Linked DNA regions of Lepisosteus oculatus. The main gene of each other region encodes a partner of the protein of the gene in region 2 in a complex. Links are inferred from orthologs where the notes say so. Each region holds a gene or a part of one and is shown on either strand. Other genes may lie near its edges.

What was found.
Region 1: meaf6 (region 2) and mbtd1 share a complex: the UniProt entries of both Homo sapiens proteins name them as parts of the nuA4 histone acetyltransferase complex. The link is inferred for Lepisosteus oculatus from reciprocal best matches to the Homo sapiens genes MEAF6 and MBTD1.
Region 3: meaf6 (region 2) and enhancer of polycomb homolog 1 share a complex: the UniProt entries of both Homo sapiens proteins name them as parts of the nuA4 histone acetyltransferase complex. The link is inferred for Lepisosteus oculatus from reciprocal best matches to the Homo sapiens genes MEAF6 and EPC1.

Annotation. Positions count from the first base shown.
Region 1 is NC_090704.1:33,791,328-33,799,227, reverse strand, and holds the start of mbtd1 (MBT domain-containing protein 1), read right to left. Parts: upstream 3,017-7,900; 5' UTR 2,884-3,016; coding exon 2,854-2,883; intron 1,919-2,853; coding exon 1,717-1,918; intron 1,037-1,716; coding exon 903-1,036; intron 705-902; coding exon 590-704; intron 106-589; coding exon 23-105; intron 1-22. Other genes in the region: spag9b (C-Jun-amino-terminal kinase-interacting protein 4), read left to right, coding at 6,788-7,087. UniProt on the Homo sapiens protein: Chromatin reader component of the NuA4 histone acetyltransferase complex, a multiprotein complex involved in transcriptional activation of select genes principally by acetylation of nucleosomal histones H4 and H2A.
Region 2 is NC_090706.1:12,445,089-12,451,914, forward strand, and holds the start of meaf6 (chromatin modification-related protein MEAF6), read right to left. Parts: upstream 3,021-6,826; 5' UTR 2,946-3,020; coding exon 2,856-2,945; intron 1,889-2,855; coding exon 1,773-1,888; intron 1,681-1,772; coding exon 1,593-1,680; intron 1,411-1,592; coding exon 1,365-1,410; intron 1,064-1,364; coding exon 874-1,063; intron 1-873. Other genes in the region: uncharacterized protein, read right to left, coding at 6,020-6,138, 6,399-6,465, 6,794-6,826.
Region 3 is NC_090701.1:39,246,526-39,253,981, reverse strand, and holds the start of enhancer of polycomb homolog 1, read right to left. Parts: upstream 3,017-7,456; 5' UTR 2,724-3,016; coding exon 2,571-2,723; intron 1-2,570. UniProt on the Homo sapiens protein: Component of the NuA4 histone acetyltransferase (HAT) complex, a multiprotein complex involved in transcriptional activation of select genes principally by acetylation of nucleosomal histones H4 and H2A.

The DNA of each region.
Region 1 (7,900 bases), on a different chromosome or scaffold from region 2:
TAGTAGTTTTAATTCTACTTACGTGCTTAAAGCAGCTAACAGGTGCCGCAACAGAGTTATTGCTGCTGATGTAACGACCCCAATCAAACCCCTCCACAGGAACCACTGAAAAGGGCAAGACAAGGACAGAAAGATAAAATATATTCAGTTTATCACTGCTTCAGGTGACTTATTACCAACAGTGCTAATATCCACTCCAGCACCCAATTCCCTAAATATCTTTAATGCATTTTCAAGAAATTGAATCTTTTTGTGTTTTTATAAGAGTCCCACTCAGAAATGGCAAGCTTAAACGGCATTCATTTTCCAAAAGGCAGTGCCCTCTGTGTGCTATGCTTATATTCATCAACCATGTGCTTCCTTTCAGCTACTTCTGGGAGCACTAATAAGAGAGTAATGATCTAGTAATACCACGCACCTACACTATGTACATTACAGAATGCAAAATTCAAATTTCTGCATCAAGGAAGGTGTCATTTATTCTTAGATTCACACATGTAGTAAAATGTAGTAAATGCTAACCACTCTGTGAATATACAAACTCTTACTAGTTAAATAGTCACAGTTACAGGACTTCACTGTCCCTCACCTGTTTTTGATTTAGCTTGGTTTTGTTGGTTTGCCTGGTACTGGGCATATGCTGCTAACTTGGCCATTAGAGGTTGTTTTTGTAAGACTTTTGCCTTTTTTGTAGGTGGTTTACCCTGCAAATAAAAAATATCCAATATTCAATGTTATTAACATATAAAGACATTAATATGTACATTATTTGTAGATTACAATCTTATAAAAGTGAATACAGCTGCTGTTCGTCTGGCTGGTGACTCTAACCTAGGTCTTTTTGCTAACACAAGCACCAAAACAGCTTTCTTTGGGGTCACGTGTAAAATAAAGAACATTACCTGGAGCCTAGCCAGAATGCTGGCCTTCTTTGAGTTAGAGGAATAACTTCTGGAACAAGAGACGCTGCAGAATCGCTTGGTTTTGGAATAAAAGGCATCTCTGACTCCCACCATTCCACACATCTCACAGGTAGCTGAAAGAACAGGCAATTGTGGGTTACATCACACTTACAAGTGGTGGGAACAGTGAGAAACCTTTTAATTGTGCAAACATCCCTGCACGATCCCAGACTGTCGCTGGAAACATTTTTTTCTCAATTTACTCATTAATGTCATGCAGAAAAAAAAAAACAGAACACACCCGATATAATTCAACACAAGCAAATACTGTTAAAATCTGCACAGCTTACTCTGTCATGTGACTTTCCTTTAAACTTGCCTTTTTCTAGTTCTGTTTAGTGATGATGACTCTTCCCAGAGCCCTTGTAACTCACATTTCAGTCTACGGATTACCAGTTGATATATATGTACAGTATATAGCTATGCATTTATTTACACCAGCTATTGAAAGATGTTCTTTTCAACAGAACAGAGAATGAAAGAATGTAAAATAATCACAACTATGATATTTTAAATATAGATAATAAAGCTAAAAAATATTGAAAGAGCAATGAGTAAGTTTGGCCTCTAGTAAAGACAGAATGACTTAACTGCATTTTAAATGGTGGTATGGCGCTATAAAACAAACACCAAACACTCTGTGTGCTGGTGGTATGGCGCTATAAAATAAACACCAAACACTCTGTGTGCTATGCCTTTAATTTGGGTAATTAGACTTGTGTTGTGAGAGGGCAGCGTGAACTTGTGGACTGACCCATGCCAGCTTTGCCATCTGGGTAGGTGTACACCTGCCCATTGTTCTTGATGATGGGCAGGTTGGCAGGTATGGAGGCGACCTCCTCCTCGCTCTCCTCCGAGCTAGAGCTGCTGCTGGTGTCCTCACTGCAGCTGTCATACCCATCATACATCCCGAAGGAGTCCCGCCTCTTCCTGTCTGACCGAGGAGTGTGTTCAGTCTGGGTGAACAAAGACAGGCATTGAAGAGCGCTGGCTGCAGACCTGGCATTTCCTATTGCCTTGGCCTTATGGGTTACAATCAGAAACACAGCAGGCATATTAACCAGCCTGAAAACCAATGTGCACTTAGTGTATTCAGATTAAAAATCTACACCAAAGCTACTGTATGCTGCCTATTTTTCTTTATTTTAAGAGCATGATTCCAGATTGCAAAAACACCTTTCTCAAAATACCAAAGTTTCTATAGTTTCTTTTAAACAAAACTTAACACATGGTGCATTTTAAAGTATAAGAACATGCGAACAGCTGCAAATTCAGCTGCTTCTTGAAGCAGCTCAGACTCTCAGACTCTGGATCTCAACACAGGCCTAGCTAGAATGCTTCTTAAAGGCCCCAACAGCTCTTTGTGTAAAGACATGTTTTCTACTCCCCAATCTAAATGATTGCTCCTTTAGTTTCTAAATGTGATCTATGTTTTATTACAGTCATAATAATTTATTTTCATTACAGAGTCGTAAGTAGTCCTATAAGTTGACCCAATATAAAAACCTCAGAGGCAGATATATTGGATGATATTATCATCCAGGTGGGTGCTGCACATTGGAGGTGGTGGAGGGGAGTCCCCATTACCTGTAAGGTGCTTTTACTGGAGTGTCCAGAAAAGCGCTATATAAATGTAAGTAATTATTATTAATATTAGGATCAAGCCTACTTTATCTAAACTAAACAGACTATGTTCCTTTAACCTGTCTATTAAAATATGTTAAAAAGGAAATAACTTTAGAAAAAAATTATGAGTAATGAAACCACATGTAATGTCATTACACTGTAACCAAAGTTGAATTATATAGATTTTTATTTTTAATTAGTCCACACTAGCGTATTGTCCAGCTTCCCTTGTTTTAAATTTCTCAGGTTTTGCTACATACAGTACCTTGGCATTTTGGTGTCTTGATGAGAACATAGAAGAATCTAGACATCCAGGTCCCTCTCATGAGTAGCAGTTCAGAATCTGCAATGGGGCATGCCTAGAGCATGTTTCTTTTTCCTGAATTGATCCCTTTGCTCTTAACATTACATTTTATTTGGCACACCTCGTATTTTGGAAAGGAGAACATGTTGTGTCAGTATTCAGTTTAGCTGTACAGTGCAAAATCCACTATCTGCTGGAGCTTACTACTGTGACAACTTAATCAATATTTAAAAGATGTTTCTTAGCCTGCATATAAGAAAGTTTATTTTAATGGTATAATGGGTGGCAGCTTTGAACAGTATTCTAAGCACAGAAGAGACTTATTTGATAAATATGATGAACTCCCAAAACAGAATCTCGCTGTTCCAATAAATGCTACTCAAAGACCCAAGATAATAAGAACAGAACTTAAAAAAAACCTTGCAAACATTTTTACAATTATTTCTTCCACTTATTACCATCCAATATTTCCAACTTTCAATGGTAGTGGAAACTTACTACACCCGAAATACACCTAGAAAATCTTTGTATAGGATATGTATTACTGGTCAGTGAGCACCTTACACATAGAAAAACAAATATTTATGGAAATGAAATTTCAATGATCGCTATTCGATTTCATATGCATTTCACAGGATGCAATACATTCTACGGCCGCAAACGACAGTTGTAAGTATTTCAATAAGCTTAACTACTCCAACTGCAGTACACTACGAGTTAAAGGTGACAATAAAAAGATATACCGAGTTTTCGCAAATATTTAAACAAGTCATTTAAAACTTGGTATCATAACATTTCCGGGCTCTAATTTGTAAACATGGCTACGATTTTGAACTCCGGCAGAAATGCTTAAAAATCTCAAGGCAGAGCGAAACTGCTGTGTGACACGGTAACAGCAGAATGGTAACCCGCAACGCTGGTCTACAGAGCAATAAGCAGCTATTTCTCAGCATTTATTTCTTCGGAACTCTAACACCTAGTAACAAGGTGTGTTCGCTGGGGTTTTTATCTGTAATATCAGAAAAACACGTATTTTGAAGGATTTACCCGTTACATACACGAATGACATGGAAGTCTACGTACCAAGTATTTCAAAAAAACAAGGAAGCATTATCTGTGTGTGTGCTTTGAATGCTACTACCACTGCAGTCGTGACGGGCCTGCACGCCTTTTCCACTTCGTCCTGCAAACTAGCGTCTCTGCAATGTGTTTCAGCTAATTCTCGGGTGCTTCACAATCGTTAAAGCCCCGGCAATCCGTCAGCCGAACCTTTGGAAACCTGATTGTTTTACCTAGGCGAATCTGGAGGCCCCTTTTTTCTACTGCTGTTTCTGCTGCAGGCTGACAATCACAACAAAGGAAGAGAAAAACAGGCTTGTTGCACTCCAAAGCACCACGCTCGATCTCCCCGCTCAACTCACCAAATCCCTGGCGTTTTCCATCAGCCCCTCATGCAATGCCGTTTTGTTTTGTGTGTGCAGTTGTAAAATTCCCGAGAAGGAGAAATAGAACAGAAAATCAAACTAAAACCCAAAATATTGAACTCCAGCTGAATATCAACAAAATTATCATATCTGCAGAGCGCAGGCGCAGGGTAAACCCCCTGGTTGCCATTGGTCGGAACGAGGAAATGGTAATCGACACAGTCCTTACACGGAGGATTTTGGCCCCTGGAGGCCACCGTACTACCTGAGGGGGGGAGTCTGTTATCGTTGCTTCAATGGAGCGCACCTGTTCTGCAGGCACCCAAAGACATATCACGAGTTGAACGGAATTATGACACTTCTGTTTTTTATTTGACATCCTTCAAAGAGCTATTGTATCCAAACGAATGAAGCTAGATAGACCTCAGGCAGTTTTTTCACTTGCACTGAACAAAAGCCCACTGATGTTACGAATTGACCCAGCTAAAAGAAATCGTACAACATCTGGGGCGCACCTGCTCGGTACATGAGGAGCGATCGAAAGAAGAGAAGACTCCGACACAGTTTTAAGAAAGCAGAGACCTTGTGATGGAGGCAGTGAATTTACACATGCACGCCGTATACGCTGTATCCCGTATGTGGGGTTCATAGCTTTTGCGTTAAACATTTGAAAACCTAATGTTTATGGTTCGCTCCCAAAACTAAAATGACCTGATTTATTCACACGCAACGTACGAGTTATGTGTGTGTTGTACATTTTGAAATCGTAACACTGTTTTTCAAGATACATACATTTCTTTAGTTCTCTCATCCTGAGTCGATCACGAATTTACAATACCATTCACCCCATTTTACTGTTAAGTCCCGCTTACCAAAGAGGGCAACAGATTTTCCAAAGAGGAATTCTGACATGGGAACATTGGTTTTAAATGTGCACACATTTATTTCAACCAGCTTTTTTACCTTGCAACTTCCAATACAACACGAACTCTTATAACATACTACATATACTTCAACCGTGAAAGTAGAAATACAGCTGCTACTGCACCATTAAATACATACGTTATCAGTAACAAGAACAATAATTAAGCTCGGAACTTTCGACATTTTGCGGCGCACAAAAACGTACCTTTCTAAGCCAACAGATTGCTTTATCGTTCGGTCCAACTAGAGGTCGATTAACTTCTGCTTTGATAGGGACACCTCTGTGTAAACCACTTCTGTGTGCGCGTTTTAATTGAAGACTGAGAGCTGTGTCTTTTCAGCACTTTGTAAAACAGCAGGAGTGTCAGGAAAACATATTTCAAGAGCTTGCTATTGGGATAGTTTGACATATTAAAACAGAACCATGGTAAATTAAAATGTCTGTTTTTTATATAATTTTGTTTTGGTCGTGGTAATACCAACGTCGCAAGGAACAAGTATGAGCTGGTTAAACGAGCAGCAACATTTGAGACCCAGCAGAGGGCGCTGTTTTGTAACATCAAATCAGACTCAGCTTTACCTATAGCAGGTGAGTTGTTAAACGTCTTATGTGCCAGGTAGACGGCACTCTATAAAAATATTTCTTTTTAAAATGCAATGTATTAAATATGATATTGCACATGTTCGTTGGGCATGACATACCAACTTTCAACAATTCAAAAACAAGCACTAACCGCATGTGTAGCACCATATACAGATTCACAAACCTGAACTAAATTAAACATTTTGGCGTCAGATTCCACCTTGTTCTAATATTTAATAATCCAACAGACTTCCTCACTTTCTGCTTTCGATAATATACCACCTCCATTCATCTGAGGGATATATTCTAATCAGAAGTGCAGACATTCGATAAGTTCTTTACTAGTTTAATTAGTTCCTCCAGTGGGTTCTAAATTGGCTATTTCTTTTGAGTTTTACTTATGTTTGTCTTAAAACACATAATGCAAGACTTACCTAGTTAAAAACGAACAAGTCGAATGGTTCAGTGCATTTGAATAAATAAAAACGAATACAGTACTTGGAAGACAATGAAGAAGTGAACGCACAAAAAGATAATTCGATACACTCTGTTCTGTTTGAATATTTCAAAAATATTAATTTCACGACTCGTGCAAAATGAAACTACTAATTAATTAAAGACACCCAGGCGTAATCTTTAAAGAAACGAAAATTGCAGCGCAATATTCCAGCCCTTCCACTCGCAAATCCCAGCCCCGGTTTTAGAATGTGACGTCATCACGTGACGGTCTGGTCAACAACTCAGCTGCACAGGGAGCTGGAGGAGCGGCAGCCAAATAAAACACAAGACATCGCTCCCTTAAAGGGAGGGACTGCAACTTGCCCGGATTCTTTTATTTTTTTATTATTTTTTAATTTTTTTTTAAAGAAGTCCGGCATCTACACAACGTTGAGGAGCAGATAAATTCGTACAAGATAGCAAGAGGTGGAGGGCTGCACCGCATCGGAAAGAGAGAGAGAAGAAAATGGAGTTAGAGGACGGAGTTGTATACCAGGACGACCCGGGGACGGCGGCAATGATGTCGGAGCGGGTGTCGGGCCTGGCCAGCTCCATCTACCGCGAGTTCGAGAGGCTCATCGGCAAGTACGACGAGGACGTGGTGAAGGAGCTGATGCCGCTGGTGGTGGCCGTGCTGGAGAACCTGGACTCCGTCTTCGCCGAGAATCAGGAGCACGAAGTGGAGCTGGAGCTGCTGAAGGAGGACAACGAGCAGCTGATCACTCAGTACGAGAGGGAGAAGGCGCTGAGGAAGCACGCCGAGGAGGTGAGGGGGATTGAGCCGGGAGAAGGGGCGGGGGGTGATCTGTCCCCGCTAGGCCGTTGGCATTATTCATCATATTCCTGCACCGACCCTGTGCCAACCGCCAGCCGCCTCTGGGCCACACACGGTGTACAACACCCCAGGCGTTACCGTGCGCGCATCATGGCATGAGCGATCTGCACTGCACGGTGCGTCCAGAGACCCAGCTAACTGTTACCCTTCTTCCTTAATCCCTTAATCATCGTGCCGTGGCATCGCCCGATTGCATTTTCCTTCTGTCAGCTGCCATAATTCATAATTCAGCTGCCATTAAGTCACAACCCAGCCCACCCCGAAAAAGTAAGTTCGGACGTGCCTTGGGTTTTCCAGAAAACAACTGCACTGCCGTTCTGAGTAAAGACGCTTCACATTCCGCAGGTTGTGGCCGTCGTGCCGAGCCCCTTCGCAGGCAGTTCCTGTGCCCCTGTATAGGTGGTGGCAGAAGCATCGGATTGTTGAACCGGTGACGGGGAGAGTTGACAAGGTTGCGCGCACATTTGCCTTCTTAGGGACCTCCTCGTAGGTTTGGAGGTTGTTGGTTTAGCTGCGGGACTAGATCGTTATTCGTTTATCCGTTTCCGAAGAGAGAGTGGCCTGCTATTTTTAAAGCACAGAGGAAGAAATGGAGAGGGAGGTGCTGTAGTGTATTTTCCTGTAGTAAAATTCCTGGATATACTTATCCATTTTGCATCCCTTTATCTGTCAAGTTCAGCGAGTGCTTTGAAGGTACAAGCTGGCAGTCATTCACAAACGGATCCCACAGGTGTGCTGGTGTAT
Region 2 (6,826 bases):
AGTTTCGGATAAGAGAAACAAAAGGTATTTAAGTTAAGGATCACTAGTAAGTCGTTAATTTATTTGTTAAATCATCTCCTCAACTGTATACTGTAACAACAATGTACATCTATGTATTTATCATATTCACTGGCCAAAATATTATGAACCCCTAGTTAAAGGAGTATGCACTTGGTCTCAGGACATGCATGGCTATACCCACTGGCCAGGGCAATGCCCAGATGTAAAAAGGGCTGGTGCATTATAATCCCACGCTTCAGTCTGACAATCCTGGCTGAAGGCAAAGCAGGTGAAGAATGGGATACCGGACAAGATCAGAATACATGCCATGTCTTGTTCAAGCAGATTTTAATGTTAGCAGGGTTCACACAGCAGAGTTGAATGCCTGGTGGATGGCATTGTTTGGGGGTTCCTAATACTTTGACCCATGTGCGTTTTTGTTCAGAACCTTTGCCAGTACTTATACGTCAAATTATTTCAGCAAGTAATTCAACATTCAACTAATCCTCTGACTGCTTACAGTAGGGGTGAAGGTCATGTCTTGCTGCAAATAATTTTAAGAACATATAAAATTTACATGAAAAAAAGACTTCGCAATTTTGGTTTTGAAGCATTCATAGAACACACTGAATACTACGTTTTCAAACGTAAAAAATAAATATGCTCAAATTATTGCCAAATGTCTGTGACAAAGTTAAAGTCTGCGCTTTCTAAACAATTAAATAATTCTGACAGAAAGTTTTAGCTCTTTCTCCACACTCTCCCTGCATGACCTTTGCGAAACCGGTCTCACTGTGCAAAAGCTCCATTACAATGATCACATTAACTGTAGCTTAAGTGAAACAAAAGTTTTAACACATCACAAGTGGATACCTGTGCCGGTTTTTGTTTTTCCTCTTCTTGTGGTTGCCATGGTGACTGCCAGAAGAGGACGAGGCAGCCTTCTGGGGCTTCATCCCCTGCAAGGGCCCATCCATATCCTCCGTGTCCTCCTGGCTGGGCTCGTTCTCCTGGTTCTGGAAATCCGGGGAATTGTCACTCTCCGTTCCACTGCCTGGCTCCCCTGATGGGAGAAAATTAAGGAAATCCTTACTGTGAAGCAGCAATGCACATCACCACACCACAGGGGCTCCCATGACATTTACAGGGCAAGACAAATTCCTCTGGAACCCGGAAAAGAGCTTCACAGAATTACTGCTGGCTGGTCTGACAGAAATCAAATAGGAACGATCTAGACTTATCTAACTTGTAGCTGTGCATTTTGTGTTAATGAAAATGACAAATATCCTTGATGTCTACCGAGTCGTGTTTACAGATAGGAATGATGACTGTGAAGAGCACAAGGACAGAAATATAATGCCTACTTTTTTCTATAAGTTGGTCCTGTATTCCTCCTAGAGCACTAACCGCCTGGAAAAGAAACAGGGACAACAAACGTTAAAAGCATGAAATGTTAAGAACTCAAACAAATTCCATCACTTTATTTCACAAGAGGCTTAACATCTCGTCAATATATGAAGTATGTTCCATCTACGTTTAAAGAAACCTGACGAGTTTGCTAACTTCATATGAAATACAAGCGTTTAACTTACTGCGACGGATGTGACAGATGATTTGCTAAAGAGCCGCTCTGCTTCTTTGAACTTTCTGTTCCTTCTGTCATTTTTGCTGTTGGAATTTCTGCAACAGAGGTTAAAAGGTATTAAAAAAGTGACGCAAAGCCAAGCTTAGCACAAAATCGCTATCGGAAGAAAGACTTGAACCGATCTTACTTCTGGTTGGTTAGGTACCGATCCCATCCTCTTATGATGTTGCCATACATTTGAGTGTCTTCCAGGTAGCTGCCTTCAAACGCATAGATTTGTCTCTCCAGGTTCGCCAGCGTCTCCTGCAGGATCGGGGCGGGAAATGAGCGCCAGCTAATGTGCGTCTTACAATTCCACAGCAACCCTCCAGCGGGGCAATATAAGCTAAGGGCTACTGAAATCCACGCAATGTCGTTATATTTGGGGTTGGGTGTAAGCAGAAGATAACATTCCTCGGGAGAAGGGTTTCCTCTCTCGTCTAGCGTGTTTGATTGTTAGCAGGCTGTTGATCCGACCTCATCCTGTCGTTTATTGAAAGAATCCAAGGTATCGGGTTTGACAACGCGACTAGAGAGCCATTCAATGTTGCATAATTCTAAAAAGATCTGGAATTTCTCATGTAACAAGATTCCTCGTCGTTCATTCGTCTGTGACATGATGCATTAGTCGCTATGAAGTGCTATTTCATTTATGCACCAAGGTAACTAGTTTACATTGAGGTAAATGCCGTGTTATACTTAAAATTGTCAGGATGATGCGATATCAAATGATGCCGACCTCATTACCACACACACCAAGCAAAGCTGCTATATCCGATGCTAACATCACCTTACTATGTATCGTAACAACTAAATTCCCAAATTGAATGCTTGAAGTCATCGTTTAATCTGCTGAAAGCCGTTAATTATTTCTTAAACAAGCCTACATCCAAAGCACAGAACCGAGACTTGAGTCCCCTTCCTTCACGCCAGGAACTAACATTAGCGGTGTAGAAAAGGCCTCTAAGCCTTACAATAAACGGATTTTCCTAAATCTGCTAACCGGAGTGCACGGCCTCTACACCCGGCACTTCTTTGGCACAAGACGGAGCTGCTATTCACTAAGGTCGGTTACGTACGTTCCTCAAACGAACGCAATACAAGTGCAGCAACATACGCCTGTAAACATGACGTTTTGCTTAGAACACTCTAGCAAAATTACACATTTACCCAGATCAATGGCGACTCGAAAAACGGTTTAAAAGACGGTAATGTAAAAAAAAGGATTTACCGCGAGCTCCTGTTTCCTCTTCACCAGCTCCGACAGCTCCCTGCGTGTATCTGGAATCTGCGGAGGAGTTACTTTGGTGTGCATCGCCATGTTGGATTTTCGGAGCGGATAGGAGAAACAAAGCGCGTAACGGCAGCAAAACGCCCGACACTACCTGTGCTGTGACGAATTAACCACAAGGGGGCGTTCCACCTGCGAACACGTGAGTATCTACGTCAGATCTGGCTGATGGTCACACCTTCGATTAAGAGAAAACCATTCATTATTCCTGCACCCGCAGATATTTACATTAAAAACTATCACTAAACGGTAGAATATTATCATTACAAACAGTTAACAAAATAAAATGACTAAAATGTTTTTTCATCTTTCCCTTTATTCATTTTCATCCAAATCGCATTGTTCTTAATTCTCAGCTGAAAGCGTGATTTCCTTTATGGTCTTTATTCACGTCAGGTTCTTTTCATGACTGCTTTGTATACTCTTTATACAGTATTTCATTTTGTCTGAAACTATTCATAGATTGTTCTTGCAGATTAAAAATAGCCTAAAATTCATTTACATTTATTCTTCTTGAGAATACGTGATTGTTCCTTCTCCTTACCTAATGTAAATCTCATATGTAGTATCTCAATCTGGATGACTGCTAAGAAATAAATACATATACAATCAGACGTCAAGTCTCAATAGTTCTTCTCAATGTTGTATTTAAGACTCAATGTCACAGGTAAGTTTCACACTTGGGAAGAGCAGAAACTTTCACCTGTGAGTGCATTTATACTCTTTTTTTACTTATTCCTATAATGCTACATTGCTCAGTCAAAGACTACCCACCCAGTAAAAATACCTTTATCATGCTGGAATTCTGGAAATCTATGTTTCAAGTGTAAAGATACCAAGATTTTCTAATGGCAAATGCATTATTTATTAAATTTTTGCTTTTTAGGTAGTTTTGGCATATATTACGAAACTTGTTATTTGAGAATCGTAAAAAAAAAGTTTGGGAAGTAAGATAGGAATACACATAAAAGATAAAACAGTAAGATCAAAATGTTCGTGAGGGTTAAGTACCTTGAATTTTCTGTATACAGTAGATGTAAAAATTGGGTCAACACTTAATAGCTCTTGTAAACCAACCCCTAAACTGACCTGAAACGCATGCTTGTATCAAAACCATCCATTCCACAGATTGAAAATGTACCTAAAGAAGACACATTATTGAAGAATACAAGTCTCCAATGGCCTTTTTCAGTGGTTTGGTTTGGTTAAGACTCATATTTTTTGGTTTGGGAAACATTTTCAAATCTGATGACTGAAGGGCTTTAAGAACAAATTGCAGGATTGCTTTGTTGAAACCCCAGCTAGGGTTAGGGTTAGCATTCCCACACGTCTTAGACAGTGAAAATTTGCTCATTTAAGCACTTTTTTTTCAGAGACTTTGGGCTTCTTATATTGTATAATGGCCAGTTCTGTGGCCGTAGTCCAATAGTGGAGCAGGGTGCGGAGGAACACAGTTGGGAAGGAGCAGGCCTGTGCTAGTTGGGCCCTGATGCCATTTTTGACTGTCTGATTCAGTCGTTCACCCCACTGATTGCCGTTGGGTTGTATAAGGCCCTTACGAGTGTGTCGTATGTCCTGGTCAGCCAAACTCAGTGGACACAAATGGCGGCCCATTGTCGTTGGTGATGTTGGTTGGAAAACCAGAGTGGGCAGAGGGGGAATCCAGGAAGTCAATGACTGCCTGAGTGGTGACCGATCTAGTGGAGGCCACTTCCAGTCATTTCAAGAGCAAATTAGAAACCATGATGAAGAAACTGTGATGGGGAAAGACACCATGCAGCTCCCCACAGATGTCCAGCTGGAGAAGATCCCAGGGCTCGGATGGCCAGTCTGGGGGCTGGAGAGGATGTGGTGCGGGGCTCTCTGTTTTCCTACTTCCTACTGTCCCAGGAGGAAGGCTTCACAGTACCTGACAAGTGTTTCGATGTCTCTGTCATTTCCTGGCCACAAAACCAGATCCAGACACTGCTGTTTGACTTTGACTATTCCCAAGTGGCCCTCGTGTGCCATCTGCAACACTCGCACCTAAAGGCAGGCAGGAATAACAGCACAGGTGCCCCAAATGACACATGACTCATTCCAGCAGGAGAGCTCATCTTTAACATGATGGAAGGGGCTCAGGTCAGTGGAGACCTTGGAGGGCCACTCCGAGTATATGGAAGTGTGGAGCTGGGAAAGAACTGGGTCCTGTCCTGAGGTCTGCTGAAGTTCCTGAAGAGAGGCTGTGGCTTAGGGTGGCCAGTGCCTGTTGTAGAGAGCAGTGTTGTAAGTGCCTGGTGGTCTGTCTGCATGTATGGCCAGGTACATGTCCCACCTTTCATGTGCCCAAACGCAGGCTAAGACCTCTCTCTCACCCACGAGCACTTCTGTCTTGTCGTGCAGAGAACCCGGGAGGGAGTGAGCCATCAAGACCCACTTTGTGCCAGACCCCGGTATCCCCATATTACCACGACAGTGTCACATGAACCAACACTGCATGTCGACATAACAGGTAAGTAATCCTGTGTTAAAATTGCTCATTAATATAACTGCGATCAGTGGTGAGAGAACCATTTTCTTTATGTTTCAAATTGTCCCACACCTGGGCTGCTATCTGCCTGGCTTTTACTCATGTTCTCTCTGTGTTCACATGAGTTTCCTACCGCAATACAAAGGCATGCTTTAGTGTCACACATGGTGAACCTTCAATGCAGAAACCTTGATTGCTTTTATAGCCAACTACGCCTTCTAACAATTTTAAAGGATGTTAGGACCCTTTTCTCTTGCAAAAGGATAGATATATATCTCCCAGAACCAAGACTGCACCAACAAACCACACAAGACAGTCATACTTCATAAATCCCTTTTTATTACGTACCAATTACAATATATATTACTGCCTACCCAACACAGTATACACCATGTACGGATCATTGTAAGCTGCTTCAAACATCTGGTTGAAAGATTGTCCTTAATGACTCTGGTCATGCTGATGACGTTGGGCCATTGACTCCTGCTGCCTCACACCCATTCTTTCATTCCGTGACTTTAAATTTTAAAAATGGATTTTGTTTCCTAAAAATGCTAAAATATTGTATATATTAAAATACGACTTCTTGTGAAGATCAATCATCCAACACTGGCTTCACACAAACCAGTTTCCTCATTGCCTGTGAGAATAATTTAAAGACGTTTTTACGTTTCTTCTTGGACTTTTTAGTTTCCACTGCAGGAGATGGAGAATCTGAAAAGAGAGAGCAGAACATTTCTTCCATATTAACATTTTGCTCAATAGAAAGCTTGAGTGTTTATGCTGAAAATAAAAAAATCATTAATGCACTTTAAAAACATCAGTTCACTCATTCAGTTGTTATAGTGTTGTTAAGTTCCACAATAACAACATCGATTTTTAAACAAAAAGAGAACATTCCATAGAATGATGAGCAATCTCCATTTATCTGTAAATGACCGGGTGGAACATGCTATCATTTCTGGGGGACTCACCTGCTTGGTGGCCCTCAGCCTCACTATATTGTGTTCCTTTATCAAGGCTCAGAGATTTCTGGCTGGCCTGTGTATAGACAAAGAACATGAGGTTAGATTATTCCAACACAAGCAATACCAGGAAAAGCTCTTTGTATTAAGTTCCTACCCAAAAGTCCTCAATACTACGGGGCTATGCATCAGTTACTGGGGTGTGCCATTTGGGTAGTTAAGTAGAGAAATGTAAAACTTCAAAAACTTTTTTATACTGTGTCTGCAGCTTCTCCACATGCTGCCAACAAAATGTTATAGTCCTTTTTAAAGTTCAGATCATCATAAACTTTCTGAGGAACAGCCTATTGTATCCGAAGGATGGCTTGTGCACAAGGGCAAAGAAAAACAATGACTGTGCTTACCTTTTTGGCCTCCTCCTTCATTTTTCCAGGCTT
Region 3 (7,456 bases), on a different chromosome or scaffold from region 2:
CAACAGAAAGAAATCGATTCCTTTCCATCTTGATTTATTAGACTTAAAAAAAAAAGGCTGTTCACCTTCCTCTCACTGCTATTTTTAACGGATCAGATGTCAGCGAGAAGACAAATCAAGGTGATGTGGGCAACATTTAGCAGCCTCTCTTGACTACTACTGGCCACAAGGAACCACACCAGATTAGTAGTTTGCCGTGTTCTGTTAATATATCTGGAGGACAGCAGATATGAAAGACCAAAGTTCGTTTAATGAGAATGACTTAGGAATACAAAATTAGCTCATTAAATCTCCCTTATTTTGGTGGGTCACTGCGTCCCCAGACATCTTCCTAATCAGAAGCCGAACAGTCCCTTTCTGCTTATCCAAACACCCACTGGAATATCACGAAAAATTGAATGGTTTAAATGAGATTTATGGGCAGAGCACGACACTTAGTCTGATCAATAAATTGTGTAATATCAGTAATGCATTCTTATACATATACACAGCATAAATCAACACGGCTTTTAATTAACTCACCTGTTGCTAACAATTTTGACAATGGATTACAGTGCTTTGACAGATGCATCCAATTTCTAATTTTCGGTTCTTGATCCTAAACAGTGTAACAATTAACAGGGCAACTATCAAACTTGTCATTCCTCATCATTAAATGCTCTTCCCTCCTATTTCAACCCTAAACAAAACAGTTTGTATTACAACACCATAGAGAAAACCAAGTTAAAACGTTAGTGTGTACAATAACCATGGAAATGTCCACAAAGACATCAACCATCACATATGCAAATGTGATATTGATTAAATGCAAGAGAAGGAACTTAAAATCTCCACAGAGAAGGGCACTGGAAGAATATATTGTTAGAGTTAAAAAACAGCACGTTCGGGTACGGATTCCCCACAAAGAGGTAAAAATCAGACAGGGGTATCTTCCTAATCTCTCTCTTAGCACGCAGCCCTTCAAAGTCAAGTTTTGTCGTTTACAACTGAAATAGGAGCTGCAAACCCAGCGCTCTGCCTGCTTACAGAGTTCAGCAGAAGACTTCACCCACTGACATCTCACCTCACTGGCGCCAACAGTTCAAAGGCGAACTGACATTTGCAACGAAGGTGACAGTGTAGATCTGCGGTTAGGACTTACTAGAAAGTCCGGTAAAGTGGTTTAGAGAGGCGTCTCCATACTATTGCAAAAAAAAAACGATAGCCTGCTTTAACCTCACAATTTAACTTATTCGCACAGATGCTACTGCTGCGTTTGTAAAACATTCACCATACCCGACCGGCTTCTACACAAGCTTTCCCTCTTGGCATTCAAAGCTGCAGAACGAAGCGAAGAAACTACCAGCCTAGATTTAGGACTATCCGTTTCTTCATTCAATCGGCAACTCAAGCGTGAGAGGCTTAAATCAATCGCCAAACTTAACGCAAATGGAGGAAGTGTGGATAACGGCCACGGAGTAGGAAGAGATATGGTGTTCGGAAATAATGGAAAACTTCAGACCTACTCTCGAGGCGATAATGCAGATTTAACTGGGACTGGGGAGAGGGGGGGGGTAATTTACGGTTTTAGGACTAAGGCAAAACTGGGTCAGTTTTGCGTCACGCCTCCTGACGAGCTGTATCAACACAGCCGCGCAAGCACGGCAGCCGAGCAGGCGTGAGCACACCTCAGCCGGAATCAGACCGGTCATGTCCATTTTCTGCCAAACGGAGGGAAGTCTCCTCATTGGCAGCCCGGCAGTGCCCGCTGCCCAGCTCCGTGCGAGGCACAGCCGAAGACGAAAGAAAACAAAAACACCCTTCACGTACACAAGCTGTACATTCGTTTACGGAAACCTCCGCGACTTGCTCAGCTGCCGTGTCTCTAGAAAACACTGAAAGACAAATGGGCAGATCGCAAACTTAAACACGAACAGCGTGACCCCATCGCAAACTCTTGTCAGCGCCAACAACTCAGAACGCGTACGACGCTGTTAAAAAATACTTCTGGTACTACTCCATTTCAGAAACAGTTCATGTCGTGAAGCAAAAAAAAACGAGTCTAGAGAATGCAGAAAACGGCTTCCTTCTGCGTCAAAACCAACGTGAGCACAGGCAGTCGGACCTGCGTTCCCAGCCGACAGCGCTCTTGTTTATGTTGTAGTATCCCATGTGTACTCAGACTGAGGGGGGGGGTGTGGGCTGCCAGCTCTCGCGCGCCCCCTCGCACCGGGCCGCGGCTCCTGCAGCGACACGAGGCCCAGCCCAGCGCGAGGAGAAAGTCAGCGAAATGGCGGATTCGCCTCGAGTCACGTGACCCCTTTGTGCCGTGCAACCCTTTTCCCGGGTTAACGGGCCCCGACAACCGAACCCAACAACACCATCTGCAACCAGCGCCGTCTTATATTTGTATATACTGCACCAAATCCTGCTTAGGACGCGAGCAAAACCCCGAACCAAGCCGCCTTTCTGGAACGAGAATATGGCGGCCATTTTGTGCAAGCTTGCGCAGACAAGATAGGGGCGCCCCTTCATGCTGCCGAAACCTGGACATTTTACCAAGAATAGGTTTTCGGAACTGCAAAACGTACCGATTCCTCCTCTTTTTCCATCCCAGTTGGCATCTGCGGCACTGCCCGGTTAATAGAGGCATATTCATGCAGGTCGGGTAAGTCCTCGCAGCGGAAGACAGGTAGTGGCTTGGAAGCGTCCAGCGCCCGTGCCCGAAACGACAATTTACTCATTTTTTATATTTCGAGATGCAGCATAAATCTATCCGATCCCCTAAAATTCACAACTGTCCCGGTTTGAGCTCTCATGGATGTGTCTGTGTCGTTCTCCAGTCGTCTACCGTTCGATTGGTTAAAAAAAATACAAACGGCGAGGCGAACGGAGCCGGGAAGGCCCGGATCTTGGTCGCTCTCTTTCGGTCTCTTTTTTTCAGTCGCTCCGCTCTCTCTCCCTGGTTCAATACGCCATGGCCAACATGGCGGACATTAAAAACTCTTTAACTCTCCGGTAGCTGCTGGCGGCCCAGCCCCCCGATCAGCGCACAGCCATTCCCGCACGGCCCCGCGCGCGTGCGCGCTCGCGGCGCCCGGAGGGGAGGAGGAGGCGGCAACATGGGGGAGGGGAGCGCTCGCAACGCCGAAATAAACAGCACCGAGGAGCCGCGGCCCCCCCCCTCCCCGCCCCATTCTTCTTTCCTCCGCGCACTCTTGACAGGCAGCGCGCAGCAGCAGCAGCAGCTCTCGCAGCCTCCATCCGCACTACACGGCGTGTGTGTTGCGCCGACATGGGACGCGCTACCCGCGACTTAAAGGCGCACTCGCCCCCTGGTCTGTGGCTGAATGGGGGTTAACACGGGATAAACTACAGACCCGAGAGGATAGAGAAGTTGAATTTCCACCAACACTGTACAGTCTACAACTACGTTCTCATCTTAACGGAAGAACAGGTTTCTATTGGTAATGAAATGTGCGGTAGATAAAAACTACAGGTAAAAACGTAATATGCATCAACACTGAGGCAGTTTCTAAGTTTAGTTTCCTCCCAATATTGTAAGTAAGACATCCTACGGTTTACTGCAAGCTTAATTTTTTTTTTAAGTCTTCCGTGTGCCATCAGAGTTACAGGTATTTGATCATTGGCGTTTAACTCCAAGGCTGCCTGCTACCGATTTCTTGTTGGACGCCTCCAGTTGAATCTCCACAATCTTGGAAAATGTCGCCCTCTTTTGAAAAGAAAATGAATCGCATGGTACAGTAAGTAAGCGAACCCAGGGAAGTTTGCTCTATACTGTCTGAGAGTTTCTAAGTAAAAGGAATCAACAGCTTTGTAAAGGACAATCAAAACAAATCAGTCTTTACAAGACCAATGGAAAAAAAAAAGTTAAGAGCACTTAAAAACTAAATCATGCCCACAAGAAGGAAAAAATACCAAATTGATCTCGAAAAACTTAAGGCTTAATAACACATTTAGAAAACTAAAACCATCGGTGGCTAACCTAATTAAAATCAAACTTTCATCCACAAATTGTATTAGCCTGAGATTTAAACAATGACACTACTGAAGAGTTTAATTAGATTAAATGCATCATCAAACCATTGATCTTTTTGTCCCTTTTGAAGTTGTGATCAGCAAAAGCTAGTACATTTTCAATTAAACTCCAGTTAAATTCACAGAAACACAGGGTGGCGATTAAATTCCACCAATGGCACTCCCAGAATGTTTATACTTCTGCTAAATAATATTAAAACTGACAGCTAGACATCTTTTTTTTCTAGTGATAAATTTCATTGAATCCTTTATTTTACCAGATAAGAAAATTAAAATGACACTGCCATGGTCTGCAATGTGAACAAGTGCAGGAATTAAGGATTTACACCATTTAACTGAACACTCACATCTAAAGATGGACAGTTTCAACCTCTGCAAAAGGTCCCAGGCACTGGCAGCAGCAAGCAAAGTGCCCGTCCCCAAAACGGTAGGTCTACATGGAAAATGAATCCAATAATAGCATTAGCTCAGTGATAGGCAGTAAGATGGCACAGAGGTGCAAAAAAATAAAAAGGAAGGGTTTTCCACAAATTACAGATTGGGGGATTTTAACAGGAGAGCCTGCCTCGTATGCCAAGAGAAATACATTAAAAGAGTAAAGATCACAGAGATGAGTGTGACATGAGGCACCAGTGATATATCTTAAGTCAAAAGGGGTAAAAATCAGCAAGTTCCTCAAAGAATATTATCAGATGCCACTAAGCAGGTATTACCTAGTCCAAGATTGGGCATACAGACATTTAAAGTAGTGGACACTTTCATCTAGGTATACAACTATTTGTTGCGATACAGAAACTACGTTTGTACCTATCATTTTACTTTAGTAGTTTTCCAATTTAAACCAATGTACTGTCATCTTTATTTTAAGTGTACCTTTTTTATGCTCCATGACTAGAGCTTTAAACAACATCTAGGGAAATATTTATTCATCCTTTCTCACCTCTCCCTTTTCATCCGCACATTTTTGTCATTCTTGCTCCCACTCTTTTGACTTGGGGCTCAGCTCTCTTCCTCATCTACACCCTATTCCTGAAGAAGGCTCCACTTACAAAGCATCTCTTACAAGGAGAAAAGTGTAAAGATGGTAGATATCCTATTTCTAAAACACTTTTTTCCCCTTGAATTCTGGTGTGGATATGTATAATAACGTCAGAAGTGCAAAGATGCTACAACACGATTTCCTTCGATTAGTGAAATTTTAACTGCAATCCCTTAGCATGATTACGGTTCCACTCATCTAAAGGCTGGAAATGTTATAATCAAAACAACAAAGAGTCCTTTAATTAAAGTTTATTCTATTTAGGTTTAAGGTGGGTTAAAATATAAAAGCCAGATTGGATCTATTGCTCCTGGAAGCAAGTATACAAGAGATCCTGGCAACAGTCATGGTGCAATCAGATAAAACAGGATATGTTCAGTTGCAAATGTACTTCCTTTAAAGCTAAGTTAGACCATTTCCCCTGTAGAACTAGGAAGTTGCACAAAATCTAGTGTTCTAATTCTTATCGGTTAGAATCATTTCTCCAGTACCACCAGCTGTTGAGGCTCCCAAACTAGTAAATAACCGCACAGCTTTGAGAAAGAATAAATCCAGGCCTGACAGGTACCAAGCAAAATGACAAATCCACATTTCGGGGGAAAAAACTGCCATATTTAACAAATGAACCATAGATACCATCTGCTACCTATCAGCTGGTCAGCAACACTACAGCCTGCACCTAACTGCTTTCTTAGACACTGTGAACAGTGTACAAGTGGCTACAAACCCAACTCTTTGATTAACATACACACAACTTTAATGTAAAAGCCAGAAGGCATTTGAGATCAAGAAATGTATCCCATCTTCTAACTGGGTTTTCAGTAACTTGTTAGTATTATAACTGCAGAGATCTGTGCTAACACTACTATACTACTACTTGCTCTAAATGTGAATGTACTCTGAATAGTTATTCAGAATAACTCCTAATTACTTAAGACTTTTTCACTGAGTACTAAAGACATTCTTGTAGCAAATGATGCTGGTCAGATGACAAATATAGCCCTCAAGTCTTACGAATGATGAATAGCCCATTTTTGTACAATGCTAGCTATTTAATACCATAATTTATATATTGATTAGTTCCAGTATTATTTAACAGTCTTACTGTTTTGTGGAATTGAGAACACAAATATGTGAGACATCACGGGGGTTAATGAATGGAGCACATGGTTTAAAAACAAAAACAAAAATTGTATCAAATGTTATAAACCAGGCGTGAGTATTCCTCATTCTGGAGGCTGATTTATCTATACATTTTCTTTTGAGTACATCATCTATTAACCTAAATCAGCTAATTATGGTGTAATGGGACAATTTAACAAAAATATTTAGTTTTTCCATGTGCTCTTGCTCTAATAAGACCTAGAAAACCTACAGTCACTGACTCTGCAAGACCAGGATTGTCCAGCTTCTTTTTAAACTGAACCTCGGACAAAATGACTAGTACAAATGCACAGGTCTGTTTTTTTTAACCATACCAAGGTCTGTTGTACTGTATATTATAAAATGAAAAGATAACTAATCTCCAGGGTGTGACGCACTAGAATCACATCACACCTGAGGTGTTGGATGTTCTTGACCAGCAGCTTCTTGTCCAGCCATCCCAGGTGTGATGTTACCTTATCCCAACACAAACCTTATCGTACACTATTCCTTTACCACCACATATATCTCCTCCATTCATTGTGATGCTTACTTCAGCTGAAAATCAAACAGCCACATAAGCAAGGCATCTATACCAACTTTAATATTTAAGCCCCAATGTTCTTGGGGGCTGACTAGTTCTTGTGATCAGGGATGATGCCCCCTACCAACCTCCAATCACCACCCTGCTATTAGAAAGCCCCTTCTCCTAGAAGCACAGGCAGCAAGGTGGAGCACACCCACACTCTGCACCCGGGCAAGACGCCAGCCAATCACAGGATGAATCAGAATACCCCATGAAGCCAAGCTGGCACATCTCTGGGAGGTGGGAAGAAACCGCAGCACCTGGCAAACACCCCAGTATATGGGCAGAATGTGCCGACTCCACACATGCAGGGCTGGATGAAGGCCCTATCCGAGTGGGAACATACCTAGGGCTCGTCCTCCAAGAAAGCAAAAGTTTAAGCTCCATGTACAATGGAAGACTTTTTTTTTTATGATGCAGCTGTCATTTACTATATTCTGGGAGTGCCTAAATCAGTAGCAACAGACGTACACAACGATGAACCATGCACTATTTTCTGATGCATGACAAGGATGCACCAGGTTGGTGAATTGCGTTGTTAACATCAATGACGGATAAAAGAAAAACACCCGTGAGGCATTGGGGATGAAGAAAAAGCTACAGATGGAAGTACAGCACCCAAGCTGGTTATAAGCGCACAAGATGGAGAA